3 linked regions of the Neurospora crassa OR74A genome follow. The protein of the gene in region 1 interacts with the protein of each later gene in a biochemical or structural test. Links are inferred from orthologs where the notes say so. Each region holds a gene or a part of one and is shown on either strand. Other genes may lie near its edges. The genes, in order: rcm-1, NCU02121 and rco-1.

What was found.
Region 2: the proteins of rcm-1 (region 1) and NCU02121 form a complex in vitro, tested with the Saccharomyces cerevisiae proteins (3 studies listed by BioGRID). The link is inferred for Neurospora crassa OR74A from reciprocal best matches to the Saccharomyces cerevisiae genes CYC8 and CTI6.
Region 3: the proteins of rcm-1 (region 1) and rco-1 form a complex in vitro, tested with the Saccharomyces cerevisiae proteins (6 studies listed by BioGRID). The link is inferred for Neurospora crassa OR74A from reciprocal best matches to the Saccharomyces cerevisiae genes CYC8 and TUP1.

What each region holds. Positions count from the first base shown.
Region 1 is NC_026502.1:1,787,487-1,794,771, forward strand, and holds the start of rcm-1 (RCM-1, variant), read right to left. Parts: upstream 4,323-7,285; 5' UTR 3,846-4,322; exon of another isoform or gene 3,775-3,845; 5' UTR 3,563-3,774; coding exon 3,412-3,562; intron 3,337-3,411; coding exon 3,133-3,336; intron 3,069-3,132; coding exon 2,986-3,068; intron 2,910-2,985; coding exon 2,730-2,909; intron 2,669-2,729; coding exon 2,576-2,668; intron 2,516-2,575; coding exon 2,359-2,515; intron 2,307-2,358; coding exon 421-2,306; 3' UTR 1-420. Other genes in the region: NCU06841 (hypothetical protein), read left to right, coding at 6,295-6,322, 7,036-7,278. UniProt on the Saccharomyces cerevisiae protein: Acts as a component of the CYC8-TUP1 corepressor complex which is involved in the repression of many genes in a wide variety of physiological processes including heme-regulated and catabolite repressed genes.
Region 2 is NC_026501.1:1,172,071-1,179,364, reverse strand, and holds NCU02121 (transcriptional regulator), read left to right. Parts: upstream 1-2,858; 5' UTR 2,859-4,296; coding exon 4,297-4,889; exon of another isoform or gene 4,890-5,061; coding exon of another isoform or gene 5,062-5,072; coding exon 5,073-5,372; intron 5,373-5,425; coding exon 5,426-5,670; coding exon of another isoform or gene 5,671-5,721; coding exon 5,722-6,485; 3' UTR 6,486-6,889; downstream 6,890-7,294. Other genes in the region: NCU10232 (hypothetical protein), read right to left, coding at 1-578; NCU02122 (HCO3), read right to left, coding at 7,161-7,294. UniProt on the Saccharomyces cerevisiae protein: Component of the RPD3C(L) histone deacetylase complex (HDAC). Responsible for the deacetylation of lysine residues on the N-terminal part of the core histones (H2A, H2B, H3 and H4).
Region 3 is NC_026503.1:1,903,031-1,910,447, forward strand, and holds rco-1 (transcriptional repressor rco-1), read right to left. Parts: upstream 4,422-7,417; 5' UTR 3,902-4,421; coding exon 3,769-3,901; intron 3,616-3,768; coding exon 3,534-3,615; intron 3,459-3,533; coding exon 2,567-3,458; intron 2,507-2,566; coding exon 2,039-2,506; intron 1,966-2,038; coding exon 1,726-1,965; 3' UTR 1,191-1,725; downstream 1-1,190. Other genes in the region: NCU06204 (hypothetical protein), read left to right, coding at 1-868. UniProt on the Saccharomyces cerevisiae protein: Acts as a component of the CYC8-TUP1 corepressor complex which is involved in the repression of many genes in a wide variety of physiological processes including heme-regulated and catabolite repressed genes.

The sequences.
Region 1 (7,285 bases):
TTCATTTCCGCCTCTTGAGGATATTCCCATTCCCTTCTCGCTGTCGACTTTCCAACAGATGACATGCACACGCTTCTATTCCAAACACAAGTCATAATAATGTATGTACATCGGAATCCGCTCCTTCCTCTCCCTCCTCATCTCCTACCGGTCAGTCAAAACGTGGTAAAATAGTGCATTTCGCACCCATGAGATCTTGAGCTTCACAGGTCCTTCTGTCTCCATCATCCATGTGTGTGAAATGATGACCACTCTTTCAAACCACATAAAACGAACAAGTCGACGTACATTCCCATCCATAAGCAAAACCATTATGACATCGACAGGATCTTGGGTTCTCCTACCTCTGCCGTATTATAAGCAGATACACTGGGTCTTGTCTCTCGCGCAGAAGCTCGAGGTACACGGCAGATGATGTAATCAGTTGCTTTCTGACTTTTGTCCCATGATGCCGTTGAAGCTACCGCTCGTTGAGGCTCCGTTCTTGGACTCGTTTGCTGCAGGGCCGGATCCGGAGGAAGGACCGGGAATAATTCCGCCCTTCTTGTCCTCCTCTCCGCTATCGTCATAGTCCTCGTCAACGTCCATTTTACGGGCCGCACGCTCAGGCTCATTGACGATGGGGGGGTGCTGGGCTGGAGGATGGTCCATCCGTCGGTCTTCGGGGGCGGGCTGATGTGCTGGGCCTGGGCCTTGCTGCTGAGGTCCGGGGACTGGCTGCTGGGGTCCGTGGCCTTGCTCGTGGATGAGGTTCTGCATCGGAGCCGAACCTTGCTGCATCGGCGGCAAATGGGCAGGGGCGGAATGAGACTGGGGATGATGAGCGGCCTCCGAAGGATGGTATCCCTCGTTCTGGTGCCGCTGCTCCTCAGCCCGGCGCATGTCCTCCATGCGACGTTGTTCCTCAGCCCGGCGCTGCTCCTCAACCCTACGGGAATCTTCCATACGACGCTCGTCGAAGCGACGAGCCTCCGACGAGTTGCGACGAGCATAGGGCGGCTCCATTCGGGGCGGGGTCATCGAGGGGCGGCGGTGCCTATGGTCATCCATACGGACGCGAGTCTCCTCCGTCGCAGGCTTCTTCACCTCCCGGTCGTCTTCCCACTCACGCATTCTCTTGGGGCCAACCGAAGGAGGGCGGGGATCATGCTCCCTCTGATGAGGAGGTTCACCAGCCATACCTGACTGAGGGGGGTGAGGAGGGCCTGGCTCAGGGCCACCAGGACCGCCCTGCTCACCATGCGGAGGGTACGGCGGCTGATGCTGAGGATAGGCGGACTTGGGAGACGGCATGCGGTTCTCGTGCATGTGGGGTGGTCTTCCATCAGTCCTCGGACTGTTGTTAAAATGCATCATTGCGTTTGGAGGAGGAGGGCCGTTTGGGCCAGGACCAGAATTGGAAGGGACCACGTTCTGGGGATTAGCGTAGTTCGGGTTCCTCACTCTAGTACCACTACCCCCTTCCCGAGTAGGTTGAGGTCCTTGCTGAAGCTGTTGCTGCGGGTGCGGCTGGTGCGGTTGTTGCGGAGGTGGAGGGGGTGGAGGGGCGTAATGAGCCTGGGGAGGGGTAGGTCCTCTTCTGAGCGGCTCGGGCGCCCTGGCCTCCTGATAAGGCCTCATTTGCTGCTCCTGTCGCGGGCTGGGCTGTCTGGGAAGCGGCGGAGCGGGACCACGAAAGGGCTCCCGGTCTTGACCCGAGGCATATGGGTTCGGCGGCTGGGGAGGAGGGTTAATGTCGGAAATTCTTCCACCCCACGAGTTGGCCCCTTGGCCCGGGCCAGGGCCACCGTTGTGCATCGGCTGAGGCGGTTGATGAGGAGGCTGGCCTGAGCCTGAGCCCGCCCACTGAGGGCCCGGAGGACCAACCGCACCGGATGCATTATACGTCTGGGGGTGGATATCAGTGGGCATCGGGACTGACCCCGGGGGTGCGCCGCCATTAGCTTGCCCACTTCGGAGGAGCTGCAATCTGGTCTTGATATGCGGGTTGTTGGGATCCAGTTCGGCGGCACGTTGATAAGCGTCCAGAGCATCGCTGATCTGGTTGTTGCAAGACTCATACAAAGTGCCAAGGTCATACCAAACTTCAGAAATGAAGGGGTTGAGCCTGATGGCCCTGGAATAGGCGTCCAAGGCGTCACGATACTGGTTGATCTGGTAGTATAACACACCAATCGAGCACCAGAACGTAGGGTTCCTGCCATCCCTATAAACAGCTTGCTGATAAGCCTCGTATGCCTTAGGGTACTTTTGAAGTTGCATGTAACAACGACCGAGCAAGTACCAGCTTTGGGCATCGGTTTGGTCTGGATTATGTCAGTATAGGTGCATGAAGAAGCCAAATGCATCGAAACTTACCAGCTGCAACGGACTGATTCAGGTACTCGATTGCCTTTTCCTGGCTGGCGACTGAATTACTTTGCTGGTGATGCAGCCAGCCCAACTGCTGAAGGACCTTTGCGTGCTTTGGATCACGTTGCAGCACTCGCTCGTAGGCTTGCTTGGCACCATCATACTGCCACAACGTCAGGATTAAGAGTCGAGGAAAGAAGTATAAAATGCAAAGCAGACTTACGTCTTTTTGCTGTTCATGGACGTGACCAATCTGGAACCAGATATCCTCTTCGGTCAAAGGAGTAGGAGGAGAGTTGACAATGTATCTGAAGCACTGTTGACGAGTAAGCTGGCTGTCTCATGCCGATCTTATCAAGACAATGCTGTCGACTTACATCAAGCGATTGCTGGTACTTATGCTGTTGCTTGTAGATTATGCCGAGACGGAAATATATCTCATGAGCCTTGTCGAAGTTGGGGTCCATGGCCATGACCTGCGAGAATGCTTCCTCTGCATGGTCCAAAGAGCCATAGCGATCATAAAGAATACCTATGCCATACCAAAGCCTCGGTTCCTGCAATCAACAGACAGTTAGCCAAACCGTTGTCAATTCTGAAAAGAGGCACCCCAAGAGGTACAAATGCACGCACCTTTGGGTTGGGAAGGTTAACCAAGGCCGCTTGGTACGCAGCATATGCCTGTTGGAGGTCCTCCATCATGAGAAAGCAATGTCCTAGACACCAACAGTTAGGACCCGAATTTATTGAAATATACGTGGCGAATAGGGGGCTGCTTACCGAGGCTGCCCCATGCTTCACCGTTTGCAGGCTCGATCTTTAGGATCCTCTGCAGATATTCCGACGCCTTGGGGAAGTCCTCGCGCGTCCTAAGGACGAGACTGGCGGCATTCATAGCAGTCACAGAGTTGGGGTTGGCTGCAAGAGCCCTTTCATAAGCCTCTAGTGCCTCGTTGTGGTTCCCCATGAGCTCGGACACGGAACCTACCATGATTGCTAAATTAGCATCATACAAAATAGCCTAAAGAGGCAGCCAACAACGGCGTGGGAAGCACATACCGATTCCGATCCACACATTCTCGGTCAAGCTCATAAAGGCCTGCCGCTGTTGATTCCATGAAGGAATCGACGCCGGCGGTGGACCTGGGGGCCCTGGCGGGCCGTGATGCATTTGCATCTGCATCGTAGGGGAAGGGTGGTGGTTTGCCATTTGGGCGATGTTGCAGGAGTAGCGCGTGGATGGCGTGTTGCTCCTCGATGGACTATAGGAAATTGGAAGAGGCGGGGGCGGAAGCCAATGTAGCGCTGCCGACCCAACTTAACAGTAGAGGTAGAATTCAAAGTTTCACAAGGCGATAGCAATACAGCCTTGGTATCCCATGCAGCTGTTCCCGGGGACGCTACGGGGATAGTATGTAGGTACTAGGTAGGTAGCAGGGTGGTGTCAGGGGCCGTTGTCAAGATGCGCAGTCAGTCACGATGACTGTACCAACCAAATTGTTAGGCTTCTGCTCTTTGGGCGGCTGGACCACAACGATACGTGGCGACGGCGTCAGCAATGCAATGGTCGTGACGATGAAGCGCCCGGTTCTTGTGTGTTGTTGGGCGGACGCGATTGTCAAAAACCGAGAAAAGTTGATTGCGAATGAAGGCGACGAGAGGGCGGCAGCCTGTCGCAGCTTCTTATAGTTGGACAAGATGCGCCCAAGCTACCGAGGTCGGAATGGCGACGTCGTGCTCTCTTTTTTGTTCGAGATGGAGATTTGGACGAGACGAGCAATGCGAAAATTATTGCTCGCGGCAATGGCTGGCTGGTGTGAAGGGGGTACACCGGCTGAGTTGGGATGGAATCAGGTCCAAGGTGGTGGTTTGCGCAGAAAGAGTCGTGCGCGATGCAGGCAGCGAAGGCGGCGGGAGACGGGAGAAAAAGAAGGGGAAGGGGGAAGGGCAAAATTGGCTGGGGAAGAGGCGATCTAAAGGCAATGGGGAAGGCGGCCAGGAAGCAGCTCGATTCGCTGAACGGGGAGTTCTGACCACTTTTGCAAACTCCCCTAACCCACGGCGTCGTGTACGTACTTTTGGCTAGGTAAGTTTGGAATTTGCTCCCGGTTCCGCTTGGTGCCGCATGTCATACGGCGCGCCAAGATAAGTGACCCACACGCGCTGCACAAGGCCCTGGCGGCACAGGCAGCCCAGCCCGGTTACGGCTGGCAGGTCGTGGCAGGTTGCGGTACATTGGGGCGGGGCGAGGTGGGCACAGGGGTGCTTCCGTCCACTTCCACTTGGCTGCACCGGGGTCGGGGTGCCTAGTGCCGTGTACCTACCTAGGTACCGATGTACTTGGAGCGACGAGCACGAGCACGAGCCAACTAACGGAACCTACCTCTACCTACTACATAGTAGCTGGACTCTTGACCCTTGTTGCCCGTAGTGCGGTTGGGTTGCCCCTGGCCGAGGCCAAGGAACCACGATGAGAATGTAGAGGCAGAGGTGAGGCAATATGTATCACGCCTAGAGATTATCCAGACATGGTAGGTAGGTATCCAGACAGCCGGCATAGAATGGTAGAGCTACCTATGATTTCCAAGACATCGAAAACAACACGAGTTGGAGTCCTTGCCGCCAACCTAAGTCTGTAGGCAGTAGCATAGTGTACAGTCTCGAGTAGAGTGAGGGGTCTGGGTAAGGGAAGGTGCCCCTGGTCCAAGACCAAGAGAGCAACCTACTCCCACATGCCGTCGAGATGAAGAGGCCCAAGAGCTTCCGAACGAAACTCAGGTCACTACTATGGCCAGCTTGTCTTCAGGCCGTCTATCATATATGTTCCGTCTTGATGTTGGAACTCAGGTTTGCGGCTTTACAGTCTGGGTTCTCACCACTTCTCCCATCATCCGCTACAGCAGTAGGTACGTACACAGGCATCGCGCGAGAGTGCTCGTAGTTTATGTGGTCTGGTCGCAAGATAGATGAGCGGAAGAAGCAATGTAGGGCAAGGACATATGCATCCATGTTGGAAGATATGATGTACTCTCCGCTGCAGTCTAGCCTCCTCCGTGCTTCTGGCCCTTCAAGACCGGAAAACAACGGGACGGAATCTCCCAGCCGCCTTGCATACGCCTACCTCGCATTTTCACTTCGGATGCGTCAAGGGTGAATGTTTTTCACATTTTACGCTTGCATTCATTGACCTGCAACAATGAATCTCAGTATATCCGTACCCAGCATCGGATGTACAAGATCAGACATGCTGATACATGGGCAAATAGGTAAGGTCCATGCCATTACTTACCTTATCTACCGAGGGACTTCCGAGAAGCAAATACATCACATGACAACACAGGAGGAATACCAAAAAAAAAAAAAAAAAAAAAAAAAAAAAAAAAAAAAAAAAAAAAAAACCTGCAGCATTCACCCTTGTCTTCATCTGAATCACTTTCTTTTGTTTGACGGAAAACTTGGACGAAAATGTCAGTTAGCTTGCACCCCAGTTTGACCAACAGAAATAATAACCGTGGGTGTGTGGTTGGGAGAATCTGTAGAAGCACGCAACACCCACGGTTAAAGTTTTTCCTAAAGGTATCGTAGGTATCTTCCATGACTGTACAATGTCAAAGCTACCTATTAATGGCAGGAGCCAACTTGGGACTCGGAGTGTCCATAGGGAATACCACACCCACACCATGGTACTCGTCAGGCCTTCAAACCGATCGTCTGGCTAGACTGACTATACGCAGTATAATCGAACATTGCCCTGATCTTAGTGTGCGACAACGGACACATACTGCCGTCAAAGGAGAAACAAAGGTACATGGAATGGACGAGTGAACTATCACTGGCTAGCATCCATCGGTATCCAACCAACAGACTCCTTGACGACCAGATGAGTGCACGAATCCACTCTCAATCCCATTCAAAGGGAAAGCGTGAATGGTGCGGTTGAACATGTTTACCAGCCTGGCTGGCGTTGGTGGTACGTGCCTAGATGCAGATCGAACAAGTGAAGCCATTCCATCAGCGATCATCTCGTACTCTTCCGGCTAGGCATCCTGAAAGCTTCCAAAACCCTGGGCCACCCGCGCACAATAGCTCCGTGGATCGGCACCGCACCGAGCCAAAAAAAACACGTCCGTCACGCACAACAGCATGAGTGCCGGGTGGAGGTATATGATGGGAGGCAGGTGATGTTCCTCCCCCTTACGTTTTGCTTCAAGTTCCTGACTCGTGCCGCAGTGTCATTACAGACTGAAGTCCAGGTCTTTCCCCAAATCCGAGCAAGTAGTTTATCAAAGTGGAAGTGGAAGCTGTCCCTGTGTTCCACTCGTCCATCTGAGGCTCGACACCACTTCCATGTGCGGCCGTCATTTAACTATGTACCCCGCTCTTTCCGCAATCTTCCCTGGGCACTTCGGCCTTTGCAGCCAGGTGCCGGGCGGTTGGCAAGCACCAACAGACAAGCATTCTTCACCATTCGGGTTCCGTACCAGAGCGGTGAACTGACTTTCGATCTGACGGGCAACTCCCATACCGATCTGTACTTAGGTATCCAACTAGATGCAGCGGCTCTACTATGTAGTATAACTTTCTTTGTCCTACCATTCGCCTGGGTTGGGGAACGCTTCATCCCAACTCCCTTCCCTTTTCAGGACTTGCCCTACCAGACGACCCAGCGATGATCTCCCTTAGGCGGTGTCTGGTCTGCTGGTGTGGCTGTCGACTTGGCCGACAAGTGGCCATGGTGGCTTGGACGGGCGTCCAGTGATATGGCAAAGAAGAAGGAGGTCTGTTGCTCCAATCAATCACTCTGTCGTGGTGTGCCTGACGCTGACGAGCTGCGGGAAGGGGGGGAAGAGTGGGCGCGCGCTGACACGTTCCTCGCAGGGGACCTCCACTCCAAGGGTCAGTCGACAAAGTACTCGGTACGAACAGGTACGAA
Region 2 (7,294 bases), on another chromosome or scaffold:
CCTTCAGACGCCTGAACAGATGTGGTTCCGAAGCCAGCATCTATGCCAACATGAACCCCGCCAAGAGCTGCATCACCCGCCGTAGGGATTTTCCTCTTTTTCTTATTGTTTGTGTTTTCGAAGGAGTCATAGCCATCGATTGCTGATGCCGCGGAGACAGTAGCTTGCGAATTGACCGATCTCTCTTCATTTTCAGTCCTCGGTGACTGATGACCCTTGCGGTTCGATGGATCAGAGATCCCGTCATCGAGCAAGCTGTGTCCGCGCTCCGGTATGCCTTGTCTCGACGCAGCAGTATATCCCCCACTTTCTGCTAGTGGACCATCTCTTCTTGACTGGCGCGGGGCAGCCTCGGTGAGTCGCTCGCGAGGGGGAGTCGAAGTCTGGTCTGGTTCGTCATCTCGGATACTATACAGACTCGGGAACAAGGACGTAGAGATCGAAGGAGCTGGGGGGTATTGAATCGACTCCGCGGCTTCGGGGGTTAAACGGTCTCTGAGTGATCTCTTGGGCAGTGGATGGATTCTCCGTTCGCTTCGATATGCGGGCGACACCGACACCGTATCGGCGGAGGACATTCTTGTGACTTGCTCGTGTGCTCTGTCAGAAGCCAAATGCAAACGAATTAGCAACAGCAATGAAAGCCATTTGATGATTGGGAAGAAGTCATTTAAGAAGGCTAGCATTGGTGCCACACTGACTGAACAGCAACAACAAAAGAATGGCGGGACGAGAAGAAAGGCCGAGTGCAGGGCGAGGACAGAAGAGAGGCGCGGGGTTAGGACGGGAGGGGACTTGGGCGGACTCGACTGAAGAAGAGGTCGTTTGTTCATGCCGCGTAGTTCTGTGAAGTGGCCTTGGAAAGAAATCCAAGAATCGCAACGTGGAAGGCGCGTGCCTACGAACGTACCTTCAGGATATTACATAGTACCCAAGACAAGATGCTATCAACTTTCGAAGGAGCGCCAGCCGCCGAGGCACTTCACACGGAATATGCGTCAACCCGAGGGGATTCCCAGGCTGCTATAATCCGTATGATTGTGGAAGTTCTGTGATCCGGAGAACACCTTGGGAATACAAGTGGAAGGAAACGAAGGCGCCGACGTCGCTTTGGATGTATCCCTTTCTGCCCAAAAAGACTCATCAGCACCGAAGCCTTGGGAAAAGGAGGGGAAACGCCATGGCAGTTGTGTTCTCGTTGTTTATGCCTGGACCGGTAGATGAAATATTTTCTCCCCAAGTTGCCACCGCATCGTCTATCATAGCAAGAACTTCCTGAATCGTCGGGATACCACACCAAGGGACAAATGAAACAGCATGGCGGGGAAGGCGGCGAGAAGGGGGAGGGGGGGGGGGGGGGGGGGGGGGGGGAAATGAAGCCATACAACTGAGGGGACAATCAGCTGCTAATCACAAGCACCCACCTTCTTGGCTCGAATCTGGCTCGTGCGGATATCCGGTGGCCAGGTTGCAGGCAAACTCGGGGGAGAGCTATAGGAAGGCCAAAACAAAAGAAGCCAACTCAAACCAGCACTTTGCCCGAGTCAGTGAGACGGGTGTCGTGTATCGGTGCAGTGGTGTTGAGGGGTGGAAAGCAATGGAGTTCAGTGGTTGTGATTAGGAGAAGCGGGTGTTCACTGTAGTGAGGGCGGGCGGGATGGTAGGCGGGACCTAATCGACGCACCCTTGGCTGCATTATGTAAGCATCCCGTCCTTAACCACCTCACTGCAGTTGGTCGTCTGGACAGCGCGGGTTTCGGGCTGTGATTCTGAGGAGAGGGCAGCCAGAGGTCGGTGACCCAATGCCGCTGCCTGCCATGCTGCCAGAACCTAGAAGTACACCCGCTGTTCCGCCCCCGCCTTCCACTTGTAGTTCCCGGCCGGGGGAGCCTCCATTCGGTTTCCGGTTCCCATCCGAGTGAATAGCCTCACGCATGGCATTGGGTCTCTCCCCAACATGGAGAGATCAACGGAAACTGAGAGATCACCCAATAATGATACCCTAGAGGCCGACAGCAATCACGAACCGTCGAGCATACTGGTGTTCCCACGGGTACACTACTGGAGACTCCAAGGAACAGCCCCAAGTGAGATGCTGAATTTCCATACCGTGACCTCTCTAGCTACTGTACTGAGCTACCTGTACGTTTTTCGATTTCCCAAATCCAATTGGAAGATCATGGGGAAGTACCGAGTCGACTGATGTTGACCCATTAACTACCTCTAGGTACCAGCTAGTGTACCTTGGCTTGACTTCCCCAGCAACCGAGCTTCTTTCTGGGTGGGCAAGTCTCTCTGTCTCTACTTACCATAATCATCGCCGTGCACACTCACATTGAAAGCGACCTGAATGGAGGCCGGGTTGTGGGCGGCGGTTCCTGAATGCCGGACGCACTGTGCTTACACTAGTACTAGTACAGTATTCGAGCAAGAGCCAAGCGTTTTCCATCACAGGCAGAACACTGCGGTGCCGGTGCCATTCATAGGTAGTTGCATCTGATTTGATGCCGCCCTGACAACACCATGTACTGCCATTTTCCCTTTGAGAAGCAAACGAGACCCATTCGACGACGGTAGGTGCAATTTCACTTGGAAAGCTTTGCTCAACTCGACAACAACCTGAACCAGACCCGACCTGCAGCGAGCAATGAACCGAACCCCCGCCTCCCCTTCAGGTTCCCATTACCCCAAATAATTTCCCCTTGTGTGCAACAACGAGTTTCGTTGTCTTCCACCATCGATGTTTGTTTGAACCACATTTCACTTCAAACCCTTTTCGGTTTTCAAGATGCCCCTTATTCTCTTGTCGGTCCAGGTTGGACACGGGCTTCACCTATTGAGGCGTGATGTCATAGCACGAACCCTCCCCGACGGACGGTACCAGTAATTCACCACTCTACGGCCTCTACATACCTATGCATACGACTTTCTTACATCAAACTATATCTACTCGTCTCTGGAAACTGAACAGCATCGACAAGCCGGCTTTCGACGCCGCATCCCAGAGATCATTGATATCCTGGTCGAGCTGGCCCATTATCTTTTTCCCGGCACCGGATTGGTCAACATGGGGACCGAGCTTCCAGATGGCCCCGCACGCTTTGGCGCTGCCACTGCCGCTACCGTGAGGAGGAGTGAGGAGGTGCCTGAGTGACGGACGGGATCAGACCGGGGTTGGTGGGTGGGTGGGCGGCAGCCAGAGTGGGTGCCCGGGCGGACAGCTTTCTGCCAAAATTTACTGCAAGCAACTGCAAGAGCGCCGTGTCGGGTTGGTGGTGGTGGTGGTGGTGGTGGTGGTGGTGCATCGTGGTGCCGTGGTGCGGTGCGGTGGTCCCGTCTTTTTTGGGGCTGGCAACTCGACTAGGTCCCGGGCTCGGTTTCCACCATTGTACACACACCAAGAGAGACCAGCCATCGCTTCCTCCTTCCAGGCAGTGCCGTCCTCGCTCTCCTCTTTTCTGGAAATCCTCACCACGTACACCCTGGGCCACAGACACGAAAACCCGACTTGTCGAACTTTGTTATTTCCGTCATGAGAAATAGTTTACCACCCACCTACCACGTCGACCACCGCTCCCCGATCTCCAATTTGGCGTAGCCAGCACTTCGGATCCCGTCATAGACATCTCGTCTCGCCGTCCTCCGTCCCCTCTTCTTCGTTTTTTTTCCCACCCTCGTACCCGCTCAATCTTTTACCCAAGTTAGCAGCGAACGAGTCTTGCTTTCGTGGACATTTACACAAGCAAGCCGGCGACATCCTCATCTCGAGCACGCCCCCGATCGAGCACCCTCCTCACTTGGCTGGATTTTCGACCTGAGCCCTCGCGATCCTCCGCCGTCGGTCGATCCATCCTCGATAATTTACGCTTCTCTACCACCAAGCACCGGCTTCAAGCTACGATTCGAACCTAGCACGAGTCTCATAACCTCGACACCTTCGATTGCATCTTTACTCGACGATTGTGTCAGATTCAATTTGCGGTCGAGACTCGGCCTCGTCGAGTCCTCGCTTCTCCGTGACCACATCGACAGACGACCGCGTGATTCGGGTCTGCTCCCGCCATCACGCCCCATTACTTCTCCGACCATCCACATCGCAATTGTCGAGCTTCAAGTAAAACGAAATTGTTTTAGTGCTAGGGTGCGTCATTGTCCCCAGGCACTCCGGATACCCGACCGCAGAACCCCCTCCCAACGGGCCTGCGGATCGCGTTCTTCTCTTCGACACCAATCGTGTCGATTATATACCCTACATACTTCGAGCTCCTGCCTTGACTGCGGCCCCAGCTGCAAGCAATGGCAGGGTCCGATCCGAGGCGGTCGTCAAGAGCGCGAACCTCCCAATCACAATCGCAAATCTCGTCCAGCACGTCCAGCACGTCAGGTCGTGGTGAGCGCAGCACCAGGTATTTCAACAAAGCTGTCTCACCACAAAAGTCAAGCTCCTCGGGATCGCTATCCTCTGAGGCTCCAGACGAGACAATTACAGCGGACGACTCGTTTGGTACCCGGCGTCGTACCCGCGGTCAGCAGGAAGAAAGAGAGAGGGCAAATAACAAGTCTGAGCAGGTCGAAATGGCACACGGCGACGATGACGCTCAAGACGAGGACGAGGCCGTTCGTTGCATTTGCGGCTACGAGGACTACCCAGGCCCTCCGCCGTTTGACGAAGACTCCAAGCATGGCTTGAAGGACGGCATGGATATCGATCCCATATTCGCGACCGATGTCACCGACGATGCGGCCGGATTTTTCGTACAATGCGACATTTGCAAGGTCTGGCAACATGGCGCCTGCGTTGGCATTATGACCGAAGAGTCAAGCCCAGACGAATATTTCTGCGAAGAGTGCCGCAAAGAATTCCACAAAATTTTCACAGCGAGCAACGGGTAAATCTTGCATTTCTTTGGTCCCGTGGCTGCATGGTCGGGAGCTGAACGTCAAAAGTTCAGCTGGAGTGCGTCAAAGCCCATCACACGCCTTTGACGTTGCCTCACCTTTCATGCAATATCCTCCTCCATCCACGACAATTGTCAAATCACTCTCCAGTCGACTGACGACATGATTCACAGACAACGCTATTCGCACTACCTACCCCTTAAGCGCCCCTCTCGAACCACTTCTAGATCCGCCTCTCTCAACAAGGATGGCACGAGATCACCGCCCAAAGATAAACCGGAGGGCCGCAACGGACGTGGTACGACCACTTCCTCCGCGTCGAAGCGAAGATCTACAATGAACAGCCGAGGCGCTGACTACGACGAAGCTGAAGCCCTGAGACGGGCGATTGAAGCAAGCAAAGAAGATGCAGCTTCTGAACAACCCGAAACTACCACGAGAAGAACAAAGCGAGGCAGAAGCGATAGCGAAGAGTAGGTCCACGTCCTACGCTGCCCGACATCAATAACCGCTAACCCTCTTCAAGAAAGTCAGAAAACAAGAGGCAGAGGACGAGCTCTCGATCGGCCTCTCCTAGCCTTGACAAGACCACTGAGGACTCTGACGACGCCGGCACAACAACGCGGAATGGTGCAAAGTCTAGATCGCGGGGCGGCGTAGCAGGCCGCACTCTGCGCACCGAGAAGACAACTGAAAAAGAAGAACGCGAACGACAAAGGGCTGAGGCAGCAAACAAGCGAAAGGGTAGAGCTGAGCGCCGGCGAGCTGATGGTACGAAAGCCACGACTCTCGCGAAGGCATCTGGAATTGACACAGATACAGATTCAGACCCTTCGGACGAGTTACCACTAGCAGCTCGTGCGGCAGTGAACAAGACGCCCGCTACAACGACACCGGTCGCAGCCGCCACCGCCGTGACCACTACAACGACTACTACTACCACTACTATGGCTACCCCTGCCGCTGCGGAAGAACCGGCAGAACAAGAAGAACAATCACCAGCGGTACCCGAACCCCCTCCTGCCTCACAGTCCACTCCGGAAGACCCTCCCGCTGCAGCTACTCCCACAGCCAAGATTGAGAAGAAGCGATCACATAAGAAGAAGGGTCGCAATCAATACACACGTGATGACAACGAGCCATCGCCTGCAAGATCACAGTCAGGGGAGGCACCAGCTGAAGTACCGCCTCCTCCGAAGCCAAGTAAGGCCGAAGAGAAGGCTACTGGACACGGAAAACAAGGGAAGAATAAGGGTGGGATGAACAGCAAGATCACCATGACTGACATGAAGAGGAGGGCCGCAGCACTCCTTGACTTCATTTCGCGAACCCAAGTTGAGCTTGCTGGCGAGTCACCATCGGATGATGACAAGACGAACGGCAACAGCGTCGCACCACAGTTAGCAACTGACTGTGAAAAGCCAGGGTCGGCAACAGGCATACTCGGGGTCAATTGCTCGACCCCAGCCGCTGTCATGACTTCAGAAGGGCAGCTAGGAAAGGATTTCAAGGACCTCAGCTGCGTGGAGATGATGGACAGCTTGACCCGGAGGTTGGTCAAGTGGCAGCAGGAGTATACAGTGTGATACAATGAGCGGATAATGGATGTTATACTTGATGTGCATGTGGCATGGATTACGTCGGATAAAGGCTGATGATAACTTGCACGTTTTCGATTTTGGGTTTCTTTTTTCTTTTCCACTTTCGTTTGTCTTGGTGTTTTCTCGGGCAGAACGGTGCTATCATTAGGCAGGTTTTTGCGATGATTGGATGCTTTCGAAGTTTTATATCGAGAGTACTCGGGATAGCTGTATCCTCCCTTCCACCTACTGACGACGTGGGCGAATGGGTGGTGAGGCCAGCGATGCATTTATTGGGGCGTTTTTTTTTTTTTTTTGGGTTTAAACAGGATAATTGGTTCTGGTAGTACCTAGGACGGCGTGGGTATCATTGATAACGGAGTATAGAGTTTTCAAGAATTTCATCACCTAGGTTTATTTTGCCATGATGCTATTTCGTTCGTGTGTGGGTATCAACCATCATGCTCTCTCGTTGTTATTTGGCCTTTGATGCTATGCTCGTACTATGCCATGCCTGCTCATGCTCATGCTATGCTATTAAATCATTATCGTGTCGAATTCATCGCCGTACATGTATCATCCGTCCAACGTTCAACTACACGCCTTCAAACTTTTCTTTTCTTCACTCGCGTAATACAGCAAAACAAACCCTTGAAACATTCACCACAAAATCATCCAAGATCACCTCTGCTTCTCCTTCACACCCTCATTGATCATCCCCGTCGACGTCATCGCCAGTCCCCTCTCCACGTCGTCCTCACCCACATTTGCGCTCGCACTCACATTCTCATCACCACCACCCCTCTCTCCCTCTC
Region 3 (7,417 bases), on another chromosome or scaffold:
CGCCTCGGTTCCAATCGACGAAAACGACGACGCTGCCGCCGACGAAGCGGCAGAAGACAGGGGCCCAAATCTCAACGCTACAGTCATGGGTCAGTTAGCAGACGAGGTGCCTAATCAACGGCACAATGACATCGGCGTAGCGGTGTCGAGGGAAGAGTTACTTGCTATGATGTCGGAATCCACCACCGCATCCGGACCAACGGATGGCAGCTTGGCGAGAAGCGATGCTCGAGATCATCCACTGCCCACCACCGAGACTGACTCCGGAGCAGCACCACCACCAGTAACAGGAGAGAACAGACAGGGCAAGAATAAGAGCGAGAAGAAGAAGAGACCAAGGGACGATGAGGATGATAAGAACGACGATGAGGATAAGGATGACTTCTCTTCCGGACCGACACCACCAGTATCCGAGCAGAAAAAGAAAAAGAAAAGGAAGGCAGGAGATGACGGGACCGACATTGATGACATCTTTGCTTCGTTTGACAAGCCCAGCCAGAGAAAGAAGAAAGATAAAGCGGAGAAATCAGTTGTAGCTTCAAAGACCACAACCGTCACAACCTCGATAGCAACAGCTACAACAACAACCACGAAGGTGAAAACGACAACCGACTCATCGGTACCAACTACAACTACAACAACAACAACAACGCCAGCAGAAGCCGAAACACAACATGGCAAAGACGATCTTGACGACATTTTCGCTTCCCTCGAAAAGCCCAAAAAGAAAAAGACAAAGGTCAAGAAGACGGATGACCTAGATGACATATTTGCCTCGTTCGACAAGCCCAAAACGAAGAAGAAGAAAAAGAAGGCGGGGGCGGGAGCGGGAGCGGACGAGTTTGATGATATCTTTGGGGGGTTATGAAAAGGCGCTGCATAGTTGACTAGGCACCTACGTAGTATACTCACTCGCCTGTTATTGTTGGTGATGGGTATACCAGGTTTGTAGACACGAACGAGTAGCTCTGGATTGCTTCAAGTACAGTTACCAATTCGATGCATCTTGAGGTTTTGTTTGTTTCAAAGGCTACATGGTCATCGATAAGTGCTCGGTCCTTGCATTTGCCTCTCCCTTCTGGTTTTCTCATAGCAATACTATATCTATATACTACACCACCACGCTGTCACATTGTTTACTTGGCCCCTGGCAGCTTTCTAAGTGAACCAATCAAGAGAGGTCGAGTGAAGGCTTCAACACAAAGAGCAAGATAAATTGATCCGCTACTACTGACTGATTTGCTAGATATGATATCGGGAGACAATCTTGAACGAGCCAGCTTGAACATCGAACAAGACCCAGGATGGCCACGTCCTATGTTCTGCAATCGTCCTCCATCCATACCCAATAAACGAACGTGGGTCGTATCCCTCTCAGGCATGGCAATACGGCCTATTCCTACCCAACGTGTGCAAGTCCATAAGTCATAACCAAAAGGCATGTATCAAACAAAGGCCCAAGAAAAGGACGTGACCTTGGAAAAGCAAAACGGGATAAAACTTGAACTAATAAAATTTCTTTCTCGTTATTCCTTTCTGTTGTCCTTCCTAATTCATTTCAGAAATATCCTTGACGCCGTGTCCACATCACAATATCGACCAGGGAACACACTTTCTCCCTCTTCGTTCCTTCCTTGTATCGCTGATCTACTCTTTCCCTCTAGAATCCCAAAAATGATGGATTGGGTCGAATCTAGGGTTCGCATTGCAACTCCGCTGGTGTTTCTATATCCGAGAGTAAGACCAGATGCGGGCCCGCATATCACCAGATCCGGTAGCGAAGTACCCAACACCGTTGGGACCAGTCACTGGGCTGGGCGCCACGGAGATGACCGAGTTCTTGTGTCCCTGGAGCATGAGCTGTGTGTGGCCGGTACGGGGATCCCAGAACTGAACACCGCGGTCCTTGGAACCAGAGAGGACCCATTGCGAGTCAGGGGTCAGTGCAACGCTGAGGACGAAATCCTGTGACAAGTGATTGACACGTTAGCAAGATTGTAGAGGAATGGCCAATGGGGATATTAATGTGTAAACGTACTCTGTGGCCCTCGAAGGTCTTAATGCAGCGCCCACCCTTAGGAGGTGCCGAAGAAGGAATACCGCGCGGAGCACTAAGCTCCCACATTTTGATGGTCTTGTCCAAACTGCCGCTGACAAGGTTGCGGCCATCAGGAGAGAAAGCAACACTATAGACGCTGTCCTTGTGGCCGTCGGGGCCCTCAAGACGCTCCGCAAGGTAGCCTCTCATGTCCCAGACACGGACGCTCTTGTCCAGGGATCCGGCAGCAACGAATTGCTTGTCGGGCGAGATAGCAACAGTCGTGACACCATCTTCAATAGAGAGGACAGACGTGTTCTGCCCGGTTTCAATGTCCCAAAGACGGACGGTTCTATCACCACTGCCGGAAGCAATAGTGCGACCATCGCGAGAAAAGTCAAGACTGTAGATATCTTGTTCGTGGCCATGGAAGGTGTTACGAATGGTCCTCGACTGAATATCCCAGACCTATATCGAGCATGTTAGCAAGAGAAGACCACAACAGTTGGCTAAGGCATTGACACGTACTCTGATGAGCTTGTCCTCGGCTCCAGTGGCAAGATACTTGCCATCAGGGCTGAAGCAGACGCTTCTGATGTAAAGATCTCCAGTAAGATCGATGTTTTCGTCCTGCAGGATGCAAAGCTTCTCGCCAGTCTCCACGTCGTAGATCTGAGCGGAACGGTTGCAGCCCGTGGCAACGTACTTGCCATCCATGCTGAACCTCACGCAGCAAACAACGCTCTCATGCTGAAGAGTGTGAACCAGCTCAACGTCTAGTACCCTGGGAACGGCCGCGTTGAAGATAACCCACCAATCGTCCTTCATCTTCTTGATGTGATTCGGAAGGCGGTCGGGATCAAGCTCGCTCAAAGCGTTGGTCTGAGAAGGCGGAGGCGGAGGAGGCTGGTGGTGCTGAGCCATCCGGGTATGGTCCGGGGTAGGATGGGTTGGGACCTGGGGCGACTGAGCAGGGCCGCCGTTGTACGGGATGGGAGTGTTGATTTGAGGAGTAGCCGGGCCGCCAGCGGGAGGTCTGCCGATGCCACGCTTGCCGGCAGGGCCAGGAGAGGCAGTGCTCTGGGGCGGCTGGGGAGGAAAGTTACCAGGTCCCTGGGGCCCTTGATACTGCTGCTGGAAGGGAGGCTGCTGAGACGGCGGCGGGGGCGGGGGAGGAGGACCCTGCAGCCCAGGGGGCGCAGGCATATGTGCTGGCTGTTCTTGCTGCTGCGGTGGAGGGGGAGGAGGGACCAAGGCCTGCCCGCCCTGACCTGCCATGATCGCGCTAAAGACATTGCTTCCCAAACCAATAGCAGGGGGCTGCTGCTGGCCAGGATGCTGTGGAGGCGGGTTCATGTTGCCGGGAGCGCCTCCGCGGGCTTCAAGCTGGCGACGCAGCAGCGCAATCTCATCCTCGTACCTGGCCGGATATTGTCAGCCTACTTCTTTCGAGTCTCGGATATGCTTGACCGGGTTTTTTGTTTGACTGGCTTACTTTTGCTTTACGTTCATCTGGTGCTGCTCCATCTGGAAGACTTTCTCACGGATGACCTGAAGCTCCTGAAGCTGCGTTGCCACTATTGTCTGGTCAGCCGGGTACACGTCCCAAAGCCTAAGTCGCTGATCACAGGCCCGAAACAGCCCGCATCACCATGTACAGCTGGATTCCCTCGTTGCCAGATGGGAGGAGGATGGCCACCCAGCGGAGGGATGTGTGGAGAAACCCTTACAATCATGCTGGCAGGTCTCGTACTGGCGAGCTTGTGATTCGAATTCCATTCTGATGCCATCGAGGAGCTCGTTGAGGCGACCCATGTTCTGAATGGGCGCGCCCGCAATGGGTCGGTGCGGATACATGGACATTTTGCGTAGTTGGGGCGGTTGTCCGCGTGCTATGTTTTGGTGAAGCCGACGAGAAACGGACAGAAATCCAAGCCGGGAACGCTAGGGCGGTCGCGCAGGTTTGCGAAAGCTCAAGACAGCAATCGGCTGAAGGAAGCGAGAACGAGGGATGCGACCGATGATACAAAGGCGGCTGGCTCGTAAGATGACGCAGCTGGAGTGCAGCCGGCGTGAGGTCGGAACGAGCGTCGAGCTACCGTGCGTTGGGATGGCGTGCGCGCGGGACGGATCGCAGCGCGAAAAGACGCAAAAGATGGGGACCGCGAGGGGGGCTCGGAATCCCTAGTCGAATGGCACTGTACACAACCAAGGGCCAATGACGGGATCCGAGGGGTTGATGGGGATGGTGATGCTGGCGTTGCGCCAATTCCGATGTTTGTTGTTGGGAGGACTTGAGCGAAGCAGTTAGGGCTGCAGGCTGCAAATGCTGGTGTTGCTCCGGAGTAGTGTTGCCAAAGGGGGGAGGAGAAGGAAAAAGAAGTGGAATGGCCAGCAGGTGGCAGAAATGACCTGGGCGTGCGGGTTCTGGGGCGGCTCCCGGTGTGGATTCCCATGGACTTGCAGCCAGCGACACCACTCCCACCTCCAGCGGCTGCGGGCACTTGGGTCTTGGACTTCCTTCTTGGGAGGACAGGGAGGCGGGCTGCCGACGGGCTGCGGACAGGGCAGCAAGCTCGCAGTTCCACTTGTCAGCCTGTGGCCTGTGGAGGGTGGCACCGGTCACGCACTTAGTACCTACCTAGTGCATGTAGTGTACATCGGACGGAACGAAGGTACTTTCGTCGTATCTTGCGACCGAGAGGTACGTGGCTTCCTTTGATGTCGTCGGTAAACGGACAAGTCACTGAGCTTGCAAAGTGCTCCAGGCAGTACCTCGCATAGTACCTCGCATAGTCCATGAGCCACCCGCCATTGCTACGAGTTCCGACATGGATAGCAGGGTTTAGGGTTCCCTGTGTTACCTACCTAGGCGTAGAATATGGAATGGTAAGGCCAGAAGTGCGATTGTGGAGAGCATCTGCACAAGAGTGGATCTACGAGATTCTGGAGACCCAGTCGTCAGTGTTCGTGCGCCAGTTACGTAGAGGTGCCGCCCTGGTCACTGCTGTGATGGTTCCATTCCCGGAAAGCGAAAGAAGGTCGGCCCGGGTTGGGGGAGTGCATTGACGGACTCACCCCTCGATGTCTGCTCACCGCGTCCTGTGGTTGGGCTTTGTCACTTACGAGCACAAGGTAGCTGGTAGATGCACGTACGATTGTACACTGCACCTGTGTCAGCATAAAATTTGTTAGCGCGGTGATCTGTAGGTGGCGAGAACTTAATTTTCGTACAAGAGATGGCTAGCTTGACCACATCTAAGCCCCTATATACTGTCCGGTGGCGGTAGCGCGCTAACAAGTTTGCTGCCAGCAAAGGTGTACACAGTACATTGGAAACTCTTTCTTGCCTTTTTTCATCTTCCCAAGTTCGGATTGATCCAGGCGGGCAATCAGCGACGGGTATCCTGAGAGGCTACCTTTGCAAACAGTGACTACCTCTACTGCAAGTGTCGATAAGGAAAACATTCCCTTCATCCGTTGGTTTTTAAAACCAGGTGATTGCGAGGCGTCTGCCATTAGGCGCAAAACTCCAGACAAAACCACAGAGTGGTCTCCACGGCATTACGTACACTACAGTACCGTGGGGCAGAAACCATCGTCCAAGCGCTTACACATGCGGTTTTGAAACAATGCAAACCACTGCACAAACACAACCTCAACTCCCACTGCCACCGCGATGAATGCTACGGCATACAGCACACCATAACGCACTCGGTCTGCACGATATCGATTTAGCACCTCAATCAGGCATAGTTTTTGAGATGGACTTTGACCCTCAATATACAGGAACACAAACTCGCCTCCTTCAGACGACCTAGGTATCTTCTACGAACGCTCCCCCAGGTTCGGTTTTGCTTCATTTTGTGAGAGCTGCGGCCCGCTCAACGATGTGCAATCACGCGCGCCATGATGATCCGCTGCGTGGTGTATCTAATAAATATACACAAACTGCCAATTGGTCCAAAGCAGGAGTACGAACTAGGACCATTGCTTTCAACTTGTCCTGGCAATCTTCGAGCAACGTCAACTCACGAAAAACAATGACTTTCTGTTCTCGGTGAGTTGTCCTGTGCACCCTCTTACACACCTCTTGACCCGTTTCAGATCTGAGCAAGCGCACCACAACAGGAGACATCCATCGATCGCAGGTGTAGCCTTATGGAGCCACCCCGTCCCCTACCTTTCGATATCCCAGCGGCTATAATCATTGAAGCCTCAACAAACCCCGCTTGTAGCGCAGATAGCGACAGTAGATCCAGGTCTCTATCGACTGTGGCCAAGTGTACCTGGCTACCTGTCTTCGTTGGTTTAATCTTGTCATCGGAAGCGCATACATCACCTTCCCCTCTTTTGTGATGTGGTACCAAACCCGAACAAAACCAGTGAATCCGTCACCTCTATCTTCCTTCATGTTCCCTTGTACTTCCGCGCTCTGGTCCTTTTTTTTTTTTTTTTTTTTTGCGACTTGGTCAGGACCTCGTTCCTAGTTCAACCTCCGATGTCGAATGAACCGGCGGACAGACCGTATTTTATCCTCCAACGCCCAAATGTACTGGCTCCAGCCTGGCTACACAATCCAGCCACAAACAGGCTACTACGCGAGTCAGTAATGTGAAGGATCACTAAGGTTCTGACCAACACATGATTCTGCCTTTGCATGTCACACTGTCTCGTATATCTGGTGGTCCTTGCGTCAGGCTGGGTGTCGAGTACGAAGATAATTCCCATGTTTCAATCAACTGTTCAGCGATTGAATACTCGTTCAGTCGGTTTCTGTGGAGAGACCCTGAGCGATGTGTTGATGATATACGCCCCAGACAGTTGTTGCTTAGCTGGCTATGTCGCATGCTTCAACATTGCCTCGCTTCAAAGAGGCCATCATCTCACCCAGGCAGGGGGAAGTACCAGGAGCAGGTTGCATAGCGCAATGTATCCAGCTTCTGCCAGTGTTGTGGTTCGACAGAGAGTCCCTGCAACAGCCACATGTATACATTGTCCTCAGAGTGCTGATTGCCAGACAAGTGGATGTTCAGCTTTGGGAACTTGGGTTGACTGGACTCACCTTACCCATCCCATCGAATCAATCTGTTTCATCCGATGTCAATCCAGCAGTCGCTCCGAGGGGAGGTCAGAGCGGCACGTGGGTTGGGAAAAAAACCAATTCGGATCAAAGTTTGCCCACTTTACAACTTGCAACAAAGACGTTTTGATGGGAACATCGAATCTGATCAGCGCACTGACCCGATATGTCGAGTACATAGAGTGTATCCAGGTTCATTTGGATCTAATCTTATCAGATCTTACGGTGTGCGGGCCACACCATGCCGCTGTTGCCCCCTTTCTCTTTCTTCAGTTCTAAGCGAGCCCCGTATGCCC